Linked DNA regions of Rattus norvegicus. The protein of the gene in region 2 interacts with the protein of the main gene of each other region in a biochemical or structural test. Links are inferred from orthologs where the notes say so. Each region holds a gene or a part of one and is shown on either strand. Other genes may lie near its edges.

Region 1 (11,700 bases), on a different chromosome or scaffold from region 2:
TATATGTGTGTGTATATATGTGTGTATATGTGGTGTATGTGTGTGTATGTGTGTATATGTGTGTGTATGTGTGTGTATATGTGTGTGTGTGTGTGTGTGTGTGTGTGTGTGTGTGTGTGCAGAAAGGTGCAGAGGACAGCAAGTTCCCTGAGTCCAGACTGGCCTTGAACTCCATGCATAGCCAAGAGTGGCCTTGTTCTCTTGCTCCTCCTGTCTCAGCCTAAGTGCTGGGGTCACAGCTGTGTGCTATGATGATTACTTTTATTTCATTTTAAAAAAGAACCTTGTTATTTAAAACTATGTCGGGGCTGGGGATTTAGCTCAGTGGTAGAGCGCTTACCTAGGAAGCGCAAGGCCCTGGGTTCAGTCCCCAGCTCCAAAAAAAAAAAAAAAAAAAAAAAAAAACTATGTCCATGTGGGGTTGGTAGTGTGAACACCAGTGTGGGTTCTCACCAAGACAGGAGGTTGAGGGGTTGGGGATTTAGCTCAGTGGTAGAGCGCTTGCCTAGCAAGCACAAGGCCCTGGGTTCGGTCCCCAGCTCCGAAAAATAGAAAAAAAAAAAAAAAAAAAGACAGGAGGTTGAAAGCTGCCCTGATGTAAGTGCTGGGAACCAAACCTGTGTCTTGGAGCAGTACATGCTGTGACCACTGAACCATCTCTCCAGCCCTTCTCTCGTGTCTGATGATTAGGATAAACGTGGCGTTTTAACTTTAAGACAGGAAACTAACAGCACGACAATGTCTACAGCCATAGGGCAGCACAATAAATTGTCTGGGCCACTCTGGCATGTGGTGGTCAGATCTTTTTGTTGTTGCTTTGGTTTTTCCGAGACAGGGTTTCTCTGTGTAGCCCTGGCTGCCCTGGAACTCACACTGTAGACTGGCGGAGGCCATGCTGTAACTTACAGGAGAAGCTCCTGAGTGTTTGAGCTCCTTATGACAAAGCCCTTTGGAGATTCCCACCCGCCTGGCCAGGACCAGCGGTGCTGCAGACCTCTGAACTGACCCTCATGCTGGAGCTTTGAGCCCTTCTAGCTTTCCATATGCTTATTCTTATGGTAATTCTCAGTTTGCTTTGTCAGAGCTTCCTGGGAACAAAGTCCCTCGGATGAGTCTTTGATAATTTTTCTAAAGTTTCCACAAGAAACTTAAACCTCTTTGCAGTGTCTCCTAGAAACTGGTTCCTCCGATTGGTTGCCCCTGACGGCCTCTGCAGTCATCTTGACTAGATAGGAAGAACTCGCTCAGGTTAAAGATTCTTGCTTACTTAACTGTTGAGAGAGAGAGAGAGAGAGAGAGAGAGAGAGAGAGAGAGAGAGAGAGAGAGAATACTATATCCCAAGAACATAGGAAATGGTTTCCAAAAAGATGGCGTTAAGAACTTATAAGGAAGAAATAAAGGCCATAAAAGTTCAGCCTTTGCTGACTGCAAAAATATAGAGGCAAGATACTGTTAGATGCTGGCCACGGTGCTTGCACATCTTTAACTTCTGTAACAGCATGGATGCTACCAGCCTGGGCACAGCACACAGTCGGTGTCTGCTGGCTAGATAGAATCATTCAGCTTGCGATATAAAATTCATGCTTACGGGCTGGAGAGATGGCTCAGCGGTTAAGAGCACTGACTGCTCTTCCAGAGGTCCTGAGTTCAATTCCCAGCAACCACATGGTGGCTCACAACCATCTGTAATGAGATCTGATGTCCTCTTCTGGCATGTCTGAAGACAGCTACAGTACAAAATAAATTAATAAGTCTAATATATATTAATTATATATCTATATCATCTACATCTATATCAATATGTGTTAGTCTAACTAAAGTCAGCTTGAGCTATTCAGAGCCATCTCATTGAAAGACAGCCATTGGTTCTCACTTTCACTGGCTTACACACATCCGTCCTATAGCCCGGAACCCTGTTTTTGGGGAGTTGAAGCTTTTCTTTTTAAACTGTCTTTTAAATTATTTAGGTTTATGTCATGGTTTGAATATGCTTGTCCCAGGAGATGGCCCTATTAGAAGGTGTGGCCTTGTTGGACTAGGTGTGTCATTGTGGGCATGGGCTCTAAGACCCTCATCCTAGCTTCCTGGAAGTTCGTATTCTGCTAGCAGCCTTCAGATGTAGAACTCTCAGCTCCTCCTGCACCATGCCTGCCTGGACACTGCCATGCTCCCACCTTGATGATAATGGACTGAACCTCTGAATCTGTAAGCCAGCCCTAATTAAATGTTATTCTTATAAGAGTTGTCTTGGTCATGGTATCTGCTCACACCAGTAAAACCCTAACTAGGAAAGTTTATTTTGTGTGTACGAATATTTTACCTGCATGTATGTCTGGGGACCACATGTGTGCTTAGTGTTCATGGAGTTCAGAAGAGGGCATCAGATCCTCTGGAACTAGAACTGCAGGCAGTTGTGAGCCACCCTGTGGTTGCTGGGAATTGAACTCAGGTCCTCTGGAAGAGCAGCCAATGCTCTTAACTACTGAGCCATCTCTCCAGCCCCAGGTGAGATTTATTAAAGAACTTAATGACCATTGCAAATCTTAGGACACTAGAGGACAATGAAAGCAGTACTCATCTAAAGATGCCACTTAACCCTCGGAAGTCGCTCAGTCCTACGTTGCATATCTTGCTTATGTAGAAAGAACTAGTCATGGTAGTGTTCACCTGTAACCCCAGAAAACAGCAAGTGCAGGCAAAAGAAACAGTAGTTCAAGGTCATCCATGGCAAGTTCAAGGTCAGCCTAGGTTGCGTAAGACTGTCCCAGAAAAAGGGGTGTGGGTAGACATAAACTTTTCTCAACCTACGTTCAGAAGGACCCAACCTTCCCTCTAGCCTACCACACACCAGAGTTATTAGAACACGGGAGAAGCAGACCTGTTTAGAAATAGTTCTGTGGGGTGAGTCCAACCTTCTTTGTCAGGATATCAAGAGTTCAGTCTAGGAGGCTGGGGAAATGGCTCAGCGGTTAAGAGCACCGACTGCTCTTCCAGAGGTCCTGAGTTCAATTCCCAGCACCCACATGGTGGCTCACAACCATCTGTGATGGGATCTGATGCCCTCTGCTGGTGTGTCTGAAGACAGCGACAGTGTACTCATATACAAATAAATAAATAAAACAAATAAATAAATCTTAAAAAAAAAAAAGAGTTCAGTCCAGGAGCAAACACCATGTACAAATCAGGAGCTGCAGTCTAGTTCTCTCTTGGCAGACACCACATGCGAACCAACAAGGGAAGTTCAATCACCAGAAGCAGCAAGAAGCTGTGGGAGCCTCCTGAGTTCTTTGTTTCTCTCTATGACATCACCACAGGCAAAGCTCAACAACGCAGTGTAAGGTGAATGAATAGTTGTGTGCTGTTAGGGAAGAATAGTGAGGCGGAGCGAAGCAAACCAATGCTTGCGTTCCCACTGTCTGTGGGGTCACATGGATATTCCTTCTGAACGCCATGCATCCTGTCACCTGTGTCTGCTTTAGCAAAACATTCTTTCACCCGTGTGCCCCTGCAAAGCATCAGTTAACATAACTGATTTTTCAAAGAAACTGGAAGTTTCCACTTGGGGTGGGGCTCGGGGGCAGCAAGTGTTCTGGGTGTTGAGGTACACACCTTTAATCTCAGCATTTGGGAGCAGAGGCAGATGTGTCTCCGTGAGTTCAAGGCTGGCCTGGTGTGCAAGTCAAGTTCCAGATCAATCAGGACCACACAGTGAGATCCAAAGATAACAATTTGTAGGTGTGTAGCCCGGTGGTAAAGCCATACCTATGGTGCCTGTTGGCTACGATGCCTAAGACCCAGGCTGCCATATTTTTAGGTATGGGTCTAGTAGGATAAAGGTAGGGTCTCACTGTGTGGTCCAGGTTGGCCTGGAAATAATGGGTTCAGGGAATCTCCCTCGTTAGCCTTCTTGGTAGCTGAGTGCACAGGTATACATACCCAGAATGGTGGTAGTCGCTTTTGTTTTGGGTTTTTGAAACAGTCTCTGTATGTAGGTTAATGTCATTGTGCAGGTGAGGGCTGGCATAAGTTAGGTCAAGGCCACGATTGGACAGTAAAAGAATAAGGAGGGGACGGGTTGGGAATTTAGCTCAGCGGTAGAGCGCTTGCCTAGCAAGCGCAAGGCCCTGGTTCGGTCCCCAGCTCCGAAAAAAAGAAAAGAAAAAAAAAAAGAAAAAGAATAAGGAGGGGACAAAGTTTTTGTAGGGAGGGAGAGAAGGAAAAGGAGGGAGAATCAAAATGGAGACAGGGAAGGATGACCCAGTCCAGGGTGGTCTTGAATTGCCAAGGTAGCTGGGATGGATGTCTGTCAGCAAATTTATCTTACCTAGGTGGACAGTTTATGTCCTTTTCAATTGGTTGTAAGTTTACTGTGTGGATGTATTGTGGTTTGAGAATTTAACATGTAAATCTGGTTGTTGGGTTACAGTTTGTTGAGTCTTGATATTTCTGGGTAGCTGGGACCAGAGAGTTCCCAGCTGGCCAGGGCTGAGCAGGGTGACTAGCAATGGGAGTGGAGAGACCGCTGGGGCCAGAAGACAGCTGGGCTAACGTGGCGTGGTGCCTCACTGAAGCCAGCCGCCACTGAGATAAATTGAGGTTAGTTCTATATGGCCCTACAGTGCTAGAACTAACACCAGGGAGCGACCACCGAGGTCTGAGAGTACCAGGGGCCCAGCATAGAGCAGTGACACGCGGGAACCGGTCGCACCACTTTGTAATTATACCGCAACATCTGTATGTGGCCCTGGCTGGCCTGAAACTAGCTATGTAGACTAGATTGCTCTCAAAGTATAGAGATCTGTGAGCTGTATATTCAGATGCTAAGTTCTTGATGCCTGCAGCTAGCTCTTTTTTTTATTTTTATTTTTAATTAATTAATTAATTTATTTATTTTTGCAGCTAGCTTTTTTTTTTTTTTTTTTTTTGGTTCTTTTTTTCGGAGCTGGGGACTGAACCCAGGGCCTTGCGCTTCCTAGGCAAGCACTCTACCACTGAGCTAAATCCCCAACCCCCAGATGCTAAGTTCTGTGTCCCAAGACCAGGTTGCAGTCTGGACATGGGCATTGTCTTGACCGATGTGCTGTAAAGAATACTCCTGATGACCTCTGATTGGACAATTTAAGGCCAGAGCCTATGACTGGGCAGGAGAGAGAGGAAGGTGGGACATGAGATGAATAGGGGGCCTCATGTGAAGGTCAGGATGGACCATGAGCAGAGCAAACAAAGCAAGCTTTTCCTCTCTGTGTAGCCTCAGGTGTCCTGGGATTCCCTCTGTAGACCAGGCCATCCTTGAACTCACAAAGCTCCAACTGCCTGTGCCTACTGAGTGCTGGGATCAAAGGTGTGCACCACCGCTACCTGTCTTAGACATTGTTACCTAATGTCTGCAGTCTTTCAGAGTTGTTTTGATGTTGAGGGCACAAATAGCAGCACTTCATAGCGCCACAAGGATGTGCTCACACCTGCCCCTAATAACATCCTCCCCGTGCAGAGGAGGCAAATGGGAACCTGACGGGTTGCACACCTTGCCTCAGGACGTCCTGCAATGCAAGTGCGGCATTAATAACCCTAAACCTCTTAGGAGTGTGGCTGCCCTCCTGTGTAACCCTGGCTGGCTTCAGAAGCAACAGCGACTGACAGAAACCCAGCAGGCAGGGTGGCTCATGGGTTATACTATAATCCCAATGCTTGGAAGGTTAAGCAGGAGGGTTGCCACCTAACGAGGTCAGCATGGGGACACTGCAAGTTTCCAGACCAGCCTGGGTTACAGATTAAGGTCAAGTCTCAACCCCTCACCCGACAAAAAAAGTCAAGTCCATGACTTCAGGAGGCAGAGGCAGGAAGAGGCTGCCTAGATCGCATCGAGTTTGATGTGAAATACGCTTTATAGGGGGTTCCATCCAGCTAGGTTATATAGCGAAGCGAGACCATCCATCTGAGGGCTAAAGAGATAGGACCCAGGTTTGGTTCCCACCACCCTCTTCTAGCCTCCTCAGTCATTCCACAGGTGTGTGTGCACACAGACACAGTCACACACACACACACACACATGCACACACAACATGTGGGCAAAATACACACACACACACACACACACACACACACACACATATATATTTTAAAGGAATGCTTAGTCATTTGTAAAACATTTACGTCTTCCCTAGGGGATCTATTATTGCACATATAACCCTTTAAAAATTCGTAAGAGACCACCGATGTTGGTTCATGACTTTAATCCCTGCACGCAGAAGGCAGAGGCAAGGCAGATCTTTATGAGTGGGCCAGCCTGGTCTACATAGTTCTAAGCCAACCAGAGGTGCATAGAGATACCCTGTCTCGAGCAACAAGAACCTGTTATTGTTGGGATGATGGGATGACTCTGTAGGTAAATGTGCTTGCTGTCAAACATGACAGTCTGGGTTCCACTCCAGAACCCACAAGGTAGAAGGAGAGATCTGACTCCTGCAAGTTGTCCTCTGACTTCTGCATGCACCCTGTGGCGTACAAGCCACCCCACCCTGAGTCCCAGACTAAATAAACAAAAGAATTTCTGAAATCTTTTTATTGGGAGATGTTTACCCATGAGCATACAAAACAAATGCTTAAGGAATTACAAAAGGAAAGAAAAGGACCTTACAAAAGTGGGCTTCCTTGTAACTACCGCCAACACCAGAACACAGCACATTTCAAGTAAATAAATTACACCGGGCTGTAGATGTCATCGGTGAGAGAGGTCAGAACTTTGAATGCTAGCATTCAAAACACCCCAGGTGCTATACCCAGGACCAAAAAGAAAAAAAAAATTCTACTTCTAGAAATGTGAGGAAAAAAACATCCAGGACCTTCATGGAAGCATATTTGGGACCAGCAAAGGCAAGCAGCTCACATCTGCTACACCCATACCCATCGCCACACTGGCTGTCTACAGCCTGTGCTTAGACCCCACTTGGTGGAACTGTTTGAGAAGGATCAGGAGGCGTGGCCTTGTTGGGGGAAGTGTGTCACTTGGGGTGGGCTTTAAGGTTACAAAAGCTTCCCTCTCCCTCTCTCCTTCCCTCCTTTTCTCCCTCCCTCTCTCTCTCTTTCTCTCTCTCTCTCCCTCCCCTCCCCCCTCTCTGTGTGTCTGGTGATTGGGATGTATCCAGCTCAGCTACTGTTCTAGCACCACGCCTGTCTGCTTCCCGCCATGATAACCATGGACTAAACTTCTAAAACTGTAAGCAAGCCCTGAGTTAAATGCTTTCCTTTGTAAGAGTTGCCTTAGTCATGGTGTCTCTTCACAGCAATAGAACTAAGATCGATGTCCAAGCAATGCCAAGAACTCGGTTCTTGCTTGAGGCCGGGGCTTTCTTCTGGCCCCTGGGCCCTTCGAAGAGAGTAAAAAGTAAACTTGGACTTAGGGCTCCTCTCCCATCTCTGGCCTCTGAGTCCACAGAGAGGCCACCAGCTGTTCCTTTTAGAAGGTTGGCCATTGGTCTCTAAGCCAGGGACGGAGCCACTTTTGGGCACACAAGCATGGTGGCACCTGTCTGTGCCTTCCTCAGCTGGGTGCTATGGCCTCTTCCTGGGGCCTTGGAGGGAGCTCGGCCTCAGGCTGATGGCAAAGACTAAGGGTCCTCCCCTCAAGGAGCCAGAAGACAGGGAAGAGAGGCCGGCTGAAAACTGCATAGAAAGTGTGCAGTGGCTGTGTGTGTGGCTCCAGGCTGTAGAAGGTGAGGCAGCCAGAGGTCAAGTTCAAATCTACGCCCAGGAGTCCTCCAGATACCCCTGCCCGACTCAGACGCTGAGCTCTGCCATTGTGCCAGGCCTGAATACTGTCCTCCTGGATGCAGAGGCCCCACGAGTAGGGTCCACGACCGATGTTATCTGTGTGGGTCCCCAGCTTTCGGCGTGGTAGCTCTGGGTAGGTGACGCCCAGAGTGATGGAGTGGTCAGAGGCACGCACCTCCCAGTAATGTTGTCCAGTCTGAAAACTCTGGGTGCACTGTACCTGCCACAGCTCAAAGCTGCCTGACCTGGCTGGGCTCTGAGCCTGGAAATGGTGTGTCACCTGCTGGGCCTTGTGAGACAAGAGCAAATACCGGTTGGCAGTCTCTGGGTCAAAGGTCAGATTGCGATAATCTATTGGAGAGAGACAAACAGAAGTGGGCAGAGGTGTCATTTTTTCCCCTAGAGCCTAGGGTTCCTGAGCTCCAACTATGGACAGTTTAAATGTCTACCAGGCGTAGTGGGCTGAACACCGGGCAGCGTCTTACTGGTGAATCCTTCATTGCTCCCTCAGAGCTGGAATCCTCTACCTGCCCCATGTTACGAGAGGGGGAAACTGAGGCTCAGAGAGTTAAGTTCACACACTATTAAGCAGAAGGAGGAGATGGACCCCAGAGTGTGCCCTTTATAACACTATGCTGACTGAATCTGCCTCAGGGTGGATCTGGATGAGGTCTACGTCTGACAGCAGATGTGCTAAGGTGGGGACAGGCCCAGTGAGGAGTGTGGACAGGACAGTTAGAGCAGCCCCCCCACCCCATATGTTCACAAGCATATGCACACATTCATACACTCTCACGTGCACACATCTGTCACCCGCACACACACAGGCACTGTGTCTCCTTACTCTGCCAGAGCTTCTTCCTCAGTGGACACATTGCGCTGGGGACTGGTGCCAGGGGACCCAAGGCCTCTTAAGAACAAAGAGTGAAGGGATAGGGTTATCCCTGACTCCCCGCATCTACCCAGCATTGGGGGGTGGGGAGGGCCCAGAGGGCAGGGAGAAGTCAGTCTTACCCATAGGGCCAGCACTGGCAGCTTTGTCTGCCGCCGTGGGGAGGGTCTTCTCTTCAAGGAGGAGCTCACACAGTGGGCTAAGCAGCTGGTTCACACTGTTCAACTGCTCTTCCTCATCCCACTGGGGAGGAGTCGGTGGCCCGAGGGACCCTATGGGCTCAGAGAGCTGCTGTAACCCCTGAACCCCGGGGACAGAGGCAGTGAGTGGTGTTCGAGGCGTGGGAGCATGGCCCTAGCCCACTGCCCTGACGTACCTGGAAGAAGATGAAATCATCCCCCTGCCCCAGGAGGTCCTGGACACTTTGGTCGTACTGAGACAGGGCCTTTAGGTGGTCAGTCAGCCGCTGTCTCTCATGCAGAACTTGGTCCAGCGCCCGCTTCTTGGCTCCCTCTATGTCACTCAGTGTTGAGGCCTGCTGCTTCTCCAGAACCTGGAGCAGGCTACTGAATCTCCTGGAGACCACCGAGGCCAGGGTGCGGGCTGAACTCTGCGTGGGCACAGGAGGAACTTCAGCGTGGCCATTCTCAGCACCATGGCAAGGCAGGCCGGGCCCTCAGTCACCCACTTGGCTTGAAGGGTGGGAACATGGGGGAGTCAGTTAGGGCCCTTGGAACCTCTTTCCCACTGAGGCCTGGCTTCTTGATCAACTTCCCACTCCCTGCCGCTGGGAGGCATCTACGAGGAGCTCACATCTGTTGCCTGCAGTCCAGGAACCGCTAAGGGGTGAGGCCGGACATGAGCACATGGTGAATTACCTCAATCTGACTGCTTTGCTGCTGCAGCTCCTCAAGCTGGGTCTCTGCCTGAGTGGCCTGTTGCCGGGTAACCATTACCCTAGCTCTCAGTCGGTCCTGTGGCACCCATCCAGAAGGCAAGCAACAAAAGGTTAGGAGGGTTGTAACCTTTGAGTCACCACCAGTACAGATGCTGGGCACTTTCCTCATGGCCCTAATGGTAAGTGCCTTGGACAATCCCAGAACTAGGTCAGAGTCCCGGGAGGCCTGGATAGGGACCTTTCTCTGCATGGAGCAGGATGCTATATGAGGAATGTGTTGGTCTTGGGTTGAAGACCCCACTTCCGGTCCCACTCCTGTGGCTTGCAGGTTGAGTGACCTGGACAGAGTTCCCCCACCTTCTCTGGTCCAAACCTCATGCCTACCCCAGGCAACAAAGGAGAGAGGTAGCACTGGGCTTACAGAGCCTGGGGTGGGGCGGGAGACTGGACAGAGTTGTCTGACCAGTGATCAGTTCAGCACCTAGGAGCCCAGAGGGAAGACGGACGTTATTATCATTTGGTTGACTTCTGTTCTCCCCGGAGACCAAAATGTGCTGTTATAGGAGCACCATTCTGGTACTTGAAGATGATGCTTAACCTGGCTAAGAGTCTCATTACCTGTTTTTACTCCTTCCAACACCATTTTGAGTTGGGAACCTTTATCATTGTTGCTTTGAGATAGGGTCTCATCATGTAGCCCCGGCTGGCCTGGAACTTTCCACGTAGACCAACTTGATCTTGAACACTTACAGAGATCAGCCTACTTCTGCCTCCAGAGTGACAAGATTAAAGGTGTGTGCCACCTCACCAGCTAGCTTATGTTAAAAACCTATTTGTGGGGGCTGGGGATTTAGCTCAGTGGTAGAGCGCTTACCTAGGAAGCGCAAGGCCCTGGGTTCGGTCCCCAGCTCCGAAAAAAAGAACCAAAAAAAACAAAAAACAAAAAAACAAACCTATTTGTGTTTATGTAAGTGTGGGTGCAGGCATACATGCCAACGTGCACATGTGAAGGTCAGAGGGCAACCTCGGGTGTCTCAGTCCGTGCCCTCTACCTTGAGGCAGGGTCTCTCGATGTTTACCACTGTGTCTGCCAGCCTCGTTGGCCCTTGGGCGTCCTGTGCCTCACATCCTCTCTCCTCTCAAGCAAAATTCTGTCCCCTAGAGCATGAGCCATCTGGCTGAGGTGTCCTCCATGCTGAGGGCTTCTAACCTCCAATGCCAACTTCAGTACCCAGTTTGGTCTCTCACTTGTCCTGGGCAGCAGTGCCTCAGCTTTACTTCTCGGGGCTTCAGCAGCTCCAGGGCTCACCCTCCAACCCTCTGAAACTCCGTTTCTTTCCTCCTGTCTCTGCCACTCACCCTCTGACCTCACCCTGGCCCTGTCACAGCTCTGAAATGTCCCAGGCATCTGTCCTTATTCCCACTTTCCATCCCTTACTGGTCGCGCTCCCTCCTTCAGGCTCCTTGTCCGTGTGCTGCAGTCCTCTCACTCCGTCTCCTCTGTCTCATTCCTGGTAATCACAGCCTCACAGCCTGGCTGTGATGGCCATGGGCGAGGGCGCAGGCTGCCATGGTGCCAATTCCATGGCCTTTTTTTGCCTTTAACTGAACCTCTCAGCAGCATGGATCACCTGGAGAACTCTCTCTCCTGTCACTGGCTGTGCCCTAGCCACCATCTATGTAGCTGTCAAGATGTAATCTTGGGCAGACTCTCCCTGCCCAACAAATTACCACTCCTTCTAGGGAACTATAGCGACTTCCGGCTTTCTCCTTACTGCCCGCGTCTCCTCCCAGCTCTCAGTAGGTGTCTGTGTATACCACTGCATCCACACACTTCGTATCCCAAACCAGCTGCTCCCCACCCACCCTCAGCACAGAGTAGCCCAGTCTCACGCAGAAACCTTGTCCCCAGCCATCCCTACTTCTTACTTGTCTCCACTGGGCACCGGGCTCCTACTCACTTCTCATTTCTTTTGCTTTGCAGCTGTGACCTCCTCCTCATCTCCTACCCACTCCACACCCCCAGTTGGAGCTCAGTCTCCAGAAAGCAGAAATTTGATGACATCATCGCCCTGTCTCAAGCTCGGGAAGGTTCTGGACATCCCGAGAGGAAGAGTCACCACCACCATGCTGCCCATC
Region 2 (11,600 bases):
TCACAGTTTAGCTTAAAACTACACAATTATGTTTTATCATTTGATTACTAATTAAAGGAAGTGCTTTACTACTGTCCTCTAAGTATGCATTATAGCTCAGTATCCTCAAATGCAAATGATATCCCCACACTCTGTCTCTTTAACTCTGTCTTTCTCTGTGCCTCTCTCTTTCTCTCTCTCTCTCTCTCCCTCTCTCTCTCTTTCTCTCTCTCCTACACACACACACAGAGAGACAGAGACAGAGACAGAGACAGAGAGACAGCTCTTCATGTCCACAAGTGCCGCATATACAGATGCTATTAACTGTGCATCCAAACTATACTTTTTAAATTTATACTGAACATAGAACTATTTTGTCATTACTCCTTAAACAATAAAAAGTTATTTATAAAGCATTTACACTATTATCAGATTTAAAAGTAGAATAATCTGTCAGAATATATACATACACACACACATACATATGTATGTATGCATGCACATGACATACAAGTGATGTTCCAGTTTACATATAGCCCCAGAGCTCCTAAAGGCTCACAGATACCAGTACATGACAGCAGGCATGTGCTTTGTAGCATTTAGTTATTAGGTTGATATTTTAGCAAATTAGGGAAGTTGTTCCAGCTGTTATTTTTCCATCTTTTTAATAAGAAAATAACATACATGAGAGCAGTGAAGACTCATCAGTCTTCCTTTGTAGCCCGCCTTGCTTTAACGGGAGAAGGGCTAAGAGAGACCCAGAGGACAAGAGACCGAGCAAAGACCCCAGAAATCCTGTACATTAGCAATAGGGACCTACAAGCCCACACAACATCCTTTCTGCGATCCAGGAGGGGAACTGCTCTCTCTCTGAGAACTATCCCCTATATGCTCCTCCCAAGGCCTCTATGCTGTTAATTCACTCCATCATAGGGAACCTGGTTCAGTCCTGAAAGACAGAGCTGACACACCCTAGTACAGCAAGCAGAAAGTGAGGTAGTGAAACACAGAGGACAGGACCTTAAACTGCTAAACCCTAGCATCAGTTTCGGGACTTCCACACCTTCTCGTCTTCATTGCCTTTTCCCTTACACCACTTTTCCATTTTTGTTTCTCTCAGATGAAGATACCATCATGGGGACAAAAAGAGCATCCCCCAAGCCAGAACTGCAGCTCAGGCCTTACCAAATGGAAGTGGCCCAGCCTGCCCTGGATGGGAAGAATATTATTATCTGCCTCCCCACGGGGAGCGGGAAAACCAGAGTGGCAGTTTACATCACCAAAGATCACTTAGACAAGAAGAAGCAGGCGTGTGAATCCGGGAAGGTTATCGTCCTTGTCAATAAGGTATATGCCCCTCTTTGTGTCAGTATTCTCCCTTTTGTGTCATTATTCTGAAGGTTTTCGATGATAATGTTTATAGCAACAAATCACACGCAGATTCATTTAATTAGGTGTAATGTCAATGAAACCATTTATTTTCATTTTTATCTTAAAGTTATATATTTAAATCCTAAGAGATTAACTTTGAAATTGATTTTTTTCATGAGACTAGAGCATTAAGCTAGATCTAACTTACATATAAAAATTAAATATGCCAACTCACACCTTTAAGTCCAATGGATTTGAGCATGTGTGACTGGAAAATGAAGATCAACTACCTTCTCTTAAAGTGTCTTTAGCCACTTAATGAAACATAGTATTTACTCTTTATCCAGAACATACAAAGCAGAGTGTGACTGAAAGATAAAGAAAAACTAAGTGACATTTTACCCAATCGTAGATAAATATGTATCACATTAAATGCTGTTGAACTTTTCTTTGAAAATTTATATCCTGCAAAGGTCCTCCGAGTCATCTTCATATTAACGTTATAAACAAAATGTATTTATTTGAATTTTATTTAGATAGATGAGAATTTATGTACTGGTAGACTAGGAATATAAATTTAAATCCTATTAGAACTTTGACCTCAGACAAATTTGAACATTTTCTAACTTTTTAGTTGTCTAATCTCAATCAATCTCTCTCTCTCTCTCTCTCTCTCTCTCTCTCTCTCTGGTGTGTGTGTGTGTGTGTGTGTGTGTGTGTGTGTGTGTGTGTGTGTGTGCATGTATGTACTTGCTCAAAAATTAAGAGTCTATTAAATTTTCATATTTTCTTTTCTTTCTTACACATGGAATTTAATAAGATCGTATAGGACAGGGTTGGGTCCTAAATCCACAGGGAAAAAAATAATGTTATTAAGTGAATCCAAAGCCACTTAAACTAGTGTCTTTCTTCCTCTAGGGCAGTTCTGCATTTTCTGACTCTTAGCCTCACCCCCTCTTCTCTCACAAGTTCCCTTCCCTATTTATCTGTCTCTGTGTCACATACACCGCCTCATCCAAACCACATAGCTTCAAAGCCCAGTAATTATCTCTCATTAATTTCCCTCTCTATCTCCCTCCCTGGTCATAGGACCACAGACTCTTAAAAGCTGAGAAGACCTTTGTAATGTAGCTTTCTTCCTTTGCAGAGAGACATGTCACTTCTGTTGGTTAATGCCTGCCACCAAGGATGTCTCTCGTCTTTCCAACAACCACAGCCTACAGTTCTTCCTACATTTTCCACTCAAAGAAATGCGTGCATGCGCTCACTCAGACTCACATGTCCTGTGGAATCCACAGCCATTCTTTCCTCTGTCGTCCTGGAGCACAAGCATAACTCTGGGCTTTGTGACAGCCCTGTACACAGAAAGGGCAACATCCTGAGGGTACTGGGTGACCCCATGAGTCATCATGATTCCCAGGCATCCTCATAGTCTCCCAGATACAGTGCTGAGCACTGGACAAAATGCTGTAGATGCAGTCTGAGGAATGCGGAGCAGAGGAGAGAGGAGGTCTAACTCAGTCCAGGACTGAGTTCATTGGTACATCAGAATTTCATACTAAGCTAAAACCTTCTTAATTTACTTTTGGACAACTAACTTTCAAGCTTCGATGTATGCGCCCAATATTTTTCTTATTTATGCTGTCTGATCATTTTAGATATGTTTTATTATTTTATGTGTATGAGTGTTTCTTTTTTGGGGGGGTAGGGAGGATGTGAATAAATAAATATATATTTTAAACAAAAGCATTATAAAATTGAAATCGTCTAAATACAAGATTGCATAATACATGAATACATTGTATAAATACAAAGATATTGTAAAAATATAGCAATCAAGATAATTGAGTGCAATTGACAATTATTACAGAGAGAAATAATATGGAAATAGGGTCAATATTGTACATCGCAGAAGCAACCTAACCAATTTGTATTCCAAACCTGGATAATAACATTATAAATATACAATCTTAAGTAATATTAAGTAGCTGTCAAACATTCTTCAATTTCCCATTTTGCAATATTTTTGATGGCTGAACTTTCAATGGCATTTTCCCACCGAATGAGCAGTGAAAGCATCACTCGGTTCTCCTTTGTCCCTTCTTGTTTTCTTTGAGATTACTAAAAGGACTTTTCGCTAGCTCTCCATTTACAACATAATTCTTTGCCGTGTTTCCTTAAATACATTTAAAGAAACTTCAGTTTTAATCATTGATATTTCTGTTAGGAAACCTCTGATTTAGGAATGCAGCATATTCCTGTCTAGCCCACATGCAATGTATTTTAGCTTTCAATCTAGAATACAGAAATCTTGGTCTCTAATACCATTTACTTTCGTCTCCATCCTTTCCAAAGTTATAGCCTTCAAGTGCAGAGAGAAATGCAAACACCACCTGTGCTCCCAGACTTTCCATTTCCTATCTAGAGCTTCAACATCACGAGAGAGAAGTCCCAGGTTCCTTCAGATGCTGTAATGCAGCCCCATATGATTCAGCAGAAGTGGGGAGCAGTTGGGCTTGATTAGTCTTGGCACGCAGTCTGTCACATCTCAGGAAAAGGCTCCAAGAGGACCACACACCTCCCAATTAGCCATGTCAGACTTGCATCTGCCTTCCTCTGTGTCCTTCAGTGGGAAGTCAATGCCACCCAGAGTGAGTTTCAAGATTGTCCAACGGTGACCGCATTATCAGGCAATCACATTATGAGTGATAGAGTGTGCATGCGCAGAAGCCTGACCTTACCGTTCTTCCTGTCAACTTTCTATTTGCTATACTATATACTCCAGGAATTCCATTTTTATATCGTCCTAGGATGAAACTCTCAAGGTATCTTGACTCCGGTGTTAACAGTAATTGCAGGCTGGCAGTATAGCCCAGGTGTTAGAGCAATTGCTTGGCATACAGGATGCCAGGAGTCCTGTCCTCAGCACTACAACCAAATCTTGCTTTCATGGAGTTTGCTTGTAATTGCAGCACTATAAAGAGGTAGAGGCAGACAGATCAGGAGTTCAAGATCATCCTAAGCTACACAGGGCCAGCCTGGACTAAGGCATAACTCCCGTTCTCAAACAAAAACAAAATTTAGGAATAAGATAGCTTAACCTGTCTCCTCCTTAGTCTGGGAGGTATTCTGAGTGACTAGCAATTAGAGGTGTCACCAAGGTGTCAGCAGCAACTTTCAACAGATAGTGTGGCACATACAGAGTTGGTTAGAAAGGAAGTGAATTTCTACCTTTCCTACCCTTGCTTGCCACTTTGTTTTGATTCAAACACCAAAGCCATTGTGGTAATTCATTCTCTCCTATTTCATACATTCTCCTAGAAAGTATGTTGATGCTACTGTCCACGTTCCCCGATCTTTCCAATTTTGTAGTCAGATAGCAGGATCTCAGGCACTAAGAGTAAAGGATCTTTAAAGTAAAGGATCTCAGGAGTCTCCTGAGGACTATGATATAGAATTTAATATTGCACTTAATGTTCACAGCTGACTCCACAACTTAAGAATCAATTTAGTACCAGTCACACTTTCAATTTAACTCTTGACTGAACCACAGCTTACCAGAGCCCCTCCAAGGCTTCCTTTGGGAGGTCAGTTGTTCTTCCTCTATAGTATCAGGCTGCTGTGTCTCTGAGAGAATAGTTACATTGTGTGTGATGGTTGTTCTTTTAGTCATAGAATATGTATTCGGTGACACGGAGTTACTCTGAGTCAGCAGCCTTATCTTAAATTCCTTCATGTTATAGATATAATGTCTACATCTAATACAAACACAATGGATATTTAATGTCAGATGGGTAGAAGGAATGATATATAGATGGCGATAATCAAATTAACCGACTGAATGTAAACATTTCTCTTAGTGCACATGTAATCCTTTGACTGGTATCCCTCGGCGCCTTTCTCCTTCCTCTCTATTTTTATGAAGTTTTAAAAATTCTGTATGTTCTCATTTTTAAGGTAATGTTAGCAGAACAACTTTTCCGCAAAGAGTTCAACCCGTTCTTGAAGAAATGGTATCGCATTATTGGATTAAGCGGCGATACCCAGCTGAAAATATCTTTTCCAGAAGTTGTCAAATCTTACGATGTTATTATCAGCACAGCTCAAATCCTTGAAAACTCCCTCTTAAATCTGGAGAGTGGGGAAGATGATGGTGTGCAGCTGTCAGGTTGGTTGGAGTGATTATTTTTAGAATAAAAAAGGCTGAGAGGAATATTAAAGATAGTAACAGGGAATGCTTGTTAAATCATTTTTTATGATGAGAAGTAGCCTCAGTCTATTTAAGTTACATTTTATTTCACAAGGCTTCATTGAAGTGCTCTACTTCCCTGCAAGAAAAGGACCAAAACCAGAGAAATGGTTAACTTAATGGCTTGCTTTTGCATAAGTATATCATTACTAAATCAAGTACTGTGTTCTTCCATTACTTCTGACACACACACACACACACACACACACACACTTTCAACTTATCTCTTGATTGACGCATACCTTACCAGAGTCCCGCTAAGCCCTTCCTTTGAGAGACTAATTTTCCTTCCATCCTGCAGTTACTCTGCCTGTGTCTCTCTCTGGGAGAACAATTACATTGTGTAGTATATGTGTACACACACACACACACACACACACACACACACACACACAAATTGTTGACAGAGTCGGTTAGAATTACCTTCTTCACTATAGAGTAAAACTACAGTCCTGCCTACATTTTTGGAATGATTAAGTAGTTGGGATCAAAACAGAGAAAAGTAAAAGTAATCACAAGAATTAAGCACAGAGTTTAAAAAGCGCAAAGCCATCGGCTCTCTGGATAATACTCTTTTTCACTTGGTGTTGCAAAAAAGGACTTTATCGGCCTAAAATTAAAAGTTTATTCTAAAACCAAGTGGGACTCTGGGAAGATTTTGTGGTGGTAGTTGTTTGTGTGGAAGAAAGGTGTGACTTTCACTAACACTTTCTGCATCCCATCTTGAGACAGGGATGACAGCTAGCAGGAGTAGTGCTGTAGTGGACACACGACTATTCGTAGTCATAAATTTTACTACTGGTCACTGTTAAAATTATACCAGCAGATTGACGTAGGGGGTGTGCCAATGCTATGCCCAAAGGAAAGCGATTCTTCAAAGTTCTTGTGTTGCTGTAAGAAGCCAGTTTGGGTAAACAGACCTTCTATCTTTCTGTTAAGACTTTTCCCTTATTATCATTGACGAGTGTCATCATACCAACAAGGAGGCAGTCTATAACAACATCATGAGACGGTATTTGAAGCAGAAGTTGAAAAACCATAAACTCAAGAAACAAAACAAACCAACAATTCACCTGCCTCAGATACTAGGACTGACAGCTTCACCGGGTGTTGGAGCAGCCAAAAAGCAATCTGAGGCTGAAAAACATATTTTAAATGTAAGTCGCTGATTTTGTGTATAACCAAAAATAATGCTATATCAAATGACAAATGCCTATGGCTCTTAGGATTTTAAGTAGTGTTGAGAATTCAAGTGCCAAAAGCTATTTGCTTTGGCTCTAGAAAATAACCTCAGTCTTGTACACCAAGGTGATATTCTTGATAAATACCTGGGATGCGAGCAAAGGATAGTAGTTTTCATTCCCAATGATGTCTTACTCCATGACTTTCAAAGTGGCATGCTTTCCGTGTCTCTTTGCCTTATGTGTCAGCCTAGAACATGGGTTATTCAAGTTAAAACAGAAAAGAGGCAAATGCTGTGGTTCCCACCTTTAATCCTGGCACCAAGGAGGCCGAGCCCAAGCAGACTGCTGTGAGTTTATGAGTTTACATAGTGAGTTCCAGACCAACCAGTGCCTCAGAGGGAGACCATCTCAACATAAGGGGTTGGTTGGGGTAGTGGGAAATAGAAATGTGAGGACCTTTTTATTAAATATACATTCACCAGCTTCCCCAGATGGGTGCCATCTAAAGTGCTGCTGTCCCCAGATAGGTGCCGTCTAAAGTAGTGCTATTGATATCAGGTAGTAAGTGGGTCAGAGTACTAAAGCCTCACAGTAGGTTGAAATCAATAGAAATTACTAAAGTAAACAAGAGGCAGAAAAGGATTGTCTCCAAAATTCAACTCATGACTGGGATAAAGGCCTAACTTCTACCTATGATCTAGGCACAAAGACTAAGGCAGCTCCTCCCTTTGTGCTGTCTTCTTGTACATAGACAATAATAAGATTATGGTCCATGAACATCATGGCTGCCTGATATAATCAGATGATAGTTACTCCATAATTAACTCCTGTGAATTTGCACAATTTTTCTAGTTTTCTAAGTCCCATATTACAGCTACAAAGTGAAAACCAAAGGACATCTTTTTTCTAAAATTGAACTTCAAATATACTTTTGAAAACATCAGAACAAATATTATGGATTATCATTGGTTAATTAAATCCATAGTAATCAATGCTAAAATACTGCATTCAGTAAATAATACTGTACATTTCCTGAATGAAATATTATGCTACATATCGATACTAAAATGCATATTATAATTTTCTTACACGAAAAATTTCCTTGCATTGGGTTGTAAGAAAGGGATACTTACAATGTGTCTCTTTTCCAGATATGTGCCAATCTCGATGCCTTTACCATTAAAACAGTGAAAGAGAATCTCAGTCAACTCAAACACCAAATAAAGGAACCATGCAAGAAGTTTGTGATTGCTGATGACACCAGAGAGGTATGAGAAGCATTTTATATACACTTGTCTGACAACACCATATCCAATGGAGTATTTTACATTTCGCCATCTGAATATTCTCATTAAACATCAAACAAGCCATGATTTTATACCTTTAAAAGTTGACAGGAGGCAGCAAAGACTGCTAATAATTGTCAGCACCATCCTCCTCCTTCTGCTTATGAGATATAGCTCAGTGCATGGCTACTTCTGAGTCTTGGAGGAGTGGAAGTATTGGGCCAGAGCACTGGACAGTGAACTAGAGGGATTATGGGAGTTGGTACCCTCATAGAGTCTCGGCGTTTGGTCTTGGCGTTTGCCGGATTAGCTTCTTACCAATCCAGGGAACGATTTTGTTGGCAATGACAATAGAAAAATCCTCATTTGCAATCTTTTCTTTTTGAAAACCGACTATAAAAAATGAAAAATTAAACATACTAGTACCTTTCTGGTAAATACTTTCACTGATTTAATAAGAATCAACTTATATTCTGTTTGGATGTTTTGTTTAGTAGAATATTCCTATCTTTTGTAGAATTGAAAACTTAATAGGTTTGTAGAAATGTAAAAGAAGTTTAATTCCACTAGAATCTGCCATTGGCCTCATAGGGCTACTAGGATTTAATGTTGAGATATGAGTGTAATAGGTAATACTCAGAATGCTGTGAGCACCAAACCAGTGCCAGTGGGAAACCTCCACAATGCACTCATTTTCATTCTGAAACTGAAGCGGCCGGAGTGTCGATTATATTCGACCCACTTTTACATTTTTCTCACTTGGATTTACCCGAGGAGTTCAAATTCATGCTTCTATTCTTGATTATCCATATATATATATATATATATATATATATATATATATTTCCTCCATTTGCCACTTTTTTGTCTTAACTTTTACAATTACTCTTCATTAAAGTATGATGCATGGGAAAAGCACAAGATGTACTTGTGGATTTTCATAAGCTGACCGAATTTGTTATGCAAAGAAAAAAAATTAGATAAAGAGTTAGCTCATTACAACGACCTCAGAACCCCTTCTACCAGTCCCCATGCCAAAGGAAACTTGGTTTTGTTTACATTTTGAACTTTGTCCAAGTTCAATCACATAGCATACATTCTTTCATATCTGGGTTTTTCCAAAGTATGCCAATTACTTTTTAATTTTGGAAGTAATTACAGAAGCCTGTTTCGAGTAGTTTTGGCTACACTGCTTCGTGCTCCTGGCTGTCTGCAGGTATGAACCTGCCCAGGAGCTATCTAGAATCTGCAGATGAAAGACACACACATTAGCTCATTTTAAAACTGCTTTATTGGTTGTGTGGCTAGCGTACCCTTACCATTACTCCTAGCGAAACATCTCTAAATCTGCCCTCAACTTAGTTACCTGGTTACCTAATGTGAAGCCCATTGGTCTTGTTGCCCAAGGCACTTTTGGGCCGCCCTTCCGTGGGCCACTTTCCTTTTCCACCTACATTTTAGATCTCTCCTGCAGCTCTCAGTCTGTTCCTAGATCTCCCCTGCAGCTCTCAGTCTGTTCCTGTCTCTTTACCCAAAGTCTCCTCTTCTTGCCCTCTGCTCTCTGCTAGCCTGCGGGAACCTGGTAGTCCTGCCTCTTTCTTTTCACACAGCCATTGGCCACTGGCATCTTTATTGATGGATCAAAAACCAATTGGAGCAAGGACCTTCTGTGTCCGTAAACACAGATTCCCAATTAAATCAAAGCACCATAACAACTCATTTACATAGGAATGCTACCTAAGTGAAATTAAAGACTTTCTAAATAATTGTGACATTAACTCAACGAATATTTTTAATTGCCTTTAACTTTCAAGCTTCGTAACATTCACTGATTTTACTTTTTAAAAAGTTATGGTAGTGGTTTCGAGTCAAGTAACTCCTGAAGTAAAGATAAAACTGTAAAAACCAAATGTAGTGAGCCACGAAGTGATCAGAGATTAATGTTTCATTGTCTAGGTAACGATTCTGAACCAATCACATTATAATATGCAAATCGTTTTAACAAAGCTAGTGAATGCCAGTTTAAATATTAATAATGTTTATGTCATTGTTTTTAGAATCCATTTAAAGAGAAACTTCTAGAAATTATGGCAAGCATTCAAACTTACTGCCAAAAGAGTCCATTGTCAGATTTTGGAACCCAACATTATGAGCAGTGGGCTATTCAAATGGAAAAAAAAGGTAATTTGGGTTTTGACCTAACTGCTTTTCCCTTGTTTACATTAAGATTTTAGACAATCCTCTCAGACACAGAAGCAACCTGAGAGCAAATGGAACATGAAACAGAATTTCTGTTTTGGGTGTAGGGCAAGCCCACACATGTTCTAACCCCTCATCTAAAGAAAGAGGTGTCAATTCATACAGTTTTCACGTCCGTTTATTATATATAAAGTATTAAGGCAGCTATCCGCAGCGCTGTCTTCACAGGCAATTTTACTGAGGTGTTTCCCAGGCTTTTCCTCTAAGGTTCAGGTCCACATTCCGGCTCTCATTGAGCTCAGGCAGCAAGAGATGGAGTTGGAAGCCACCCTCCTTAGAACTCATGGCACATACGGAGCCTCGCTCTGTGCCAGCGCCGCAGTGAAGTCAGTTCTGACTGTTTAAGCTCACAACACAGTTGTAGGATAGTTTTCTGCCCTTTGCCTCACTCACGGAGTTTATTCTTCCAAAGCTGCTAAAGACGGAAATCGCAGAGATCGTGTCTGTGCAGAACATTTGAGGAAGTACAACGAAGCCCTACAAATCAATGACACGATCCGAATGATTGACGCGTACAGCCACCTGGAAACGTTCTACACCGACGAGAAAGAAAAGAAGTTTGCAGCCCTCAATGACAGCGATGAGAGTGACGACGACGAGGCCAGCAGTTGCCATGACCAACTTAAGGGCAATGTAAAGAAATCTTTGAAACTGGACGAAACGGATGAATTTCTCATGAATTTGTTCTTCGGTAAGATTCAATATAGCACAAACCATGTGTTCCTGCACCGTCCTCTCAGACAGGAACTCACGGCTTTCTTTAAGTTTTCCAGAAGGCTCTCAAAATTCATCTTGAAAGAAAATCCCATGAAGACTGTGGTTTATAATTTGATATGACAGGTTAACTTTTAGTTGTGTGACTGTAATTAATTATTTGATCATCCAGTTTTACTGCCAAGACTATTGCAATTAATTAAATAAATAGTCTGAGCAATAAATATATCACAAGATTACCTGAGTCATGTCTTAGTGTATCATGTAAACTTTGCCAGTGTAATTTTTTTAATTTGCTGACGCCAACTAATTTTATTTTTAATAGTTTTTAAGTTATGTTTTTCTTTCATAAATCGACAGAGACTGGATCTGTGTGCGGCACACGGCAGGGTGTGTGAGTGTGTTTAGCAGGGTAGCTAAACCAAGCTAATAACATGAATAATTATTTTTTAAAGATAACAAGAAAATGTTGAAAAAACTAGCTGAAAACCCAAAGTACGAGAACGAAAAACTCATTAAATTAAGAAACACGATCCTGGAACAGTTCACAAGGTCTGA

What was found.
Region 1: of the proteins of Ifih1 (region 2) and Trim65, one has a biochemical effect on the other in vitro, tested with the Homo sapiens proteins (2 studies listed by BioGRID, with this or other methods). The link is inferred for Rattus norvegicus from reciprocal best matches to the Homo sapiens genes IFIH1 and TRIM65.

What each region holds. Positions count from the first base shown.
Region 1 is NC_086028.1:101,850,279-101,861,978, forward strand, and holds the end of Trim65 (E3 ubiquitin-protein ligase TRIM65), read right to left. Parts: exon of another isoform or gene 11,546-11,700; intron 10,354-11,545; exon of another isoform or gene 9,638-10,353; coding exon 9,542-9,637; exon of another isoform or gene 9,274-9,541; coding exon 9,040-9,273; intron 8,964-9,039; coding exon 8,786-8,963; intron 8,682-8,785; coding exon 8,616-8,681; intron 8,123-8,615; coding exon 7,542-8,122; 3' UTR 6,548-7,541; downstream 1-6,547. UniProt on the Homo sapiens protein: E3 ubiquitin ligase that plays a role in several processes including innate immnity, autophagy or inflammation.
Region 2 is NC_086021.1:67,645,710-67,657,309, reverse strand, and holds part of Ifih1 (interferon-induced helicase C domain-containing protein 1), read left to right. Parts: intron 1-1,099; coding exon 1,100-1,326; intron 1,327-5,307; coding exon 5,308-5,518; intron 5,519-6,538; coding exon 6,539-6,756; intron 6,757-7,934; coding exon 7,935-8,051; intron 8,052-10,126; coding exon 10,127-10,250; intron 10,251-10,740; coding exon 10,741-11,019; intron 11,020-11,497; coding exon 11,498-11,600.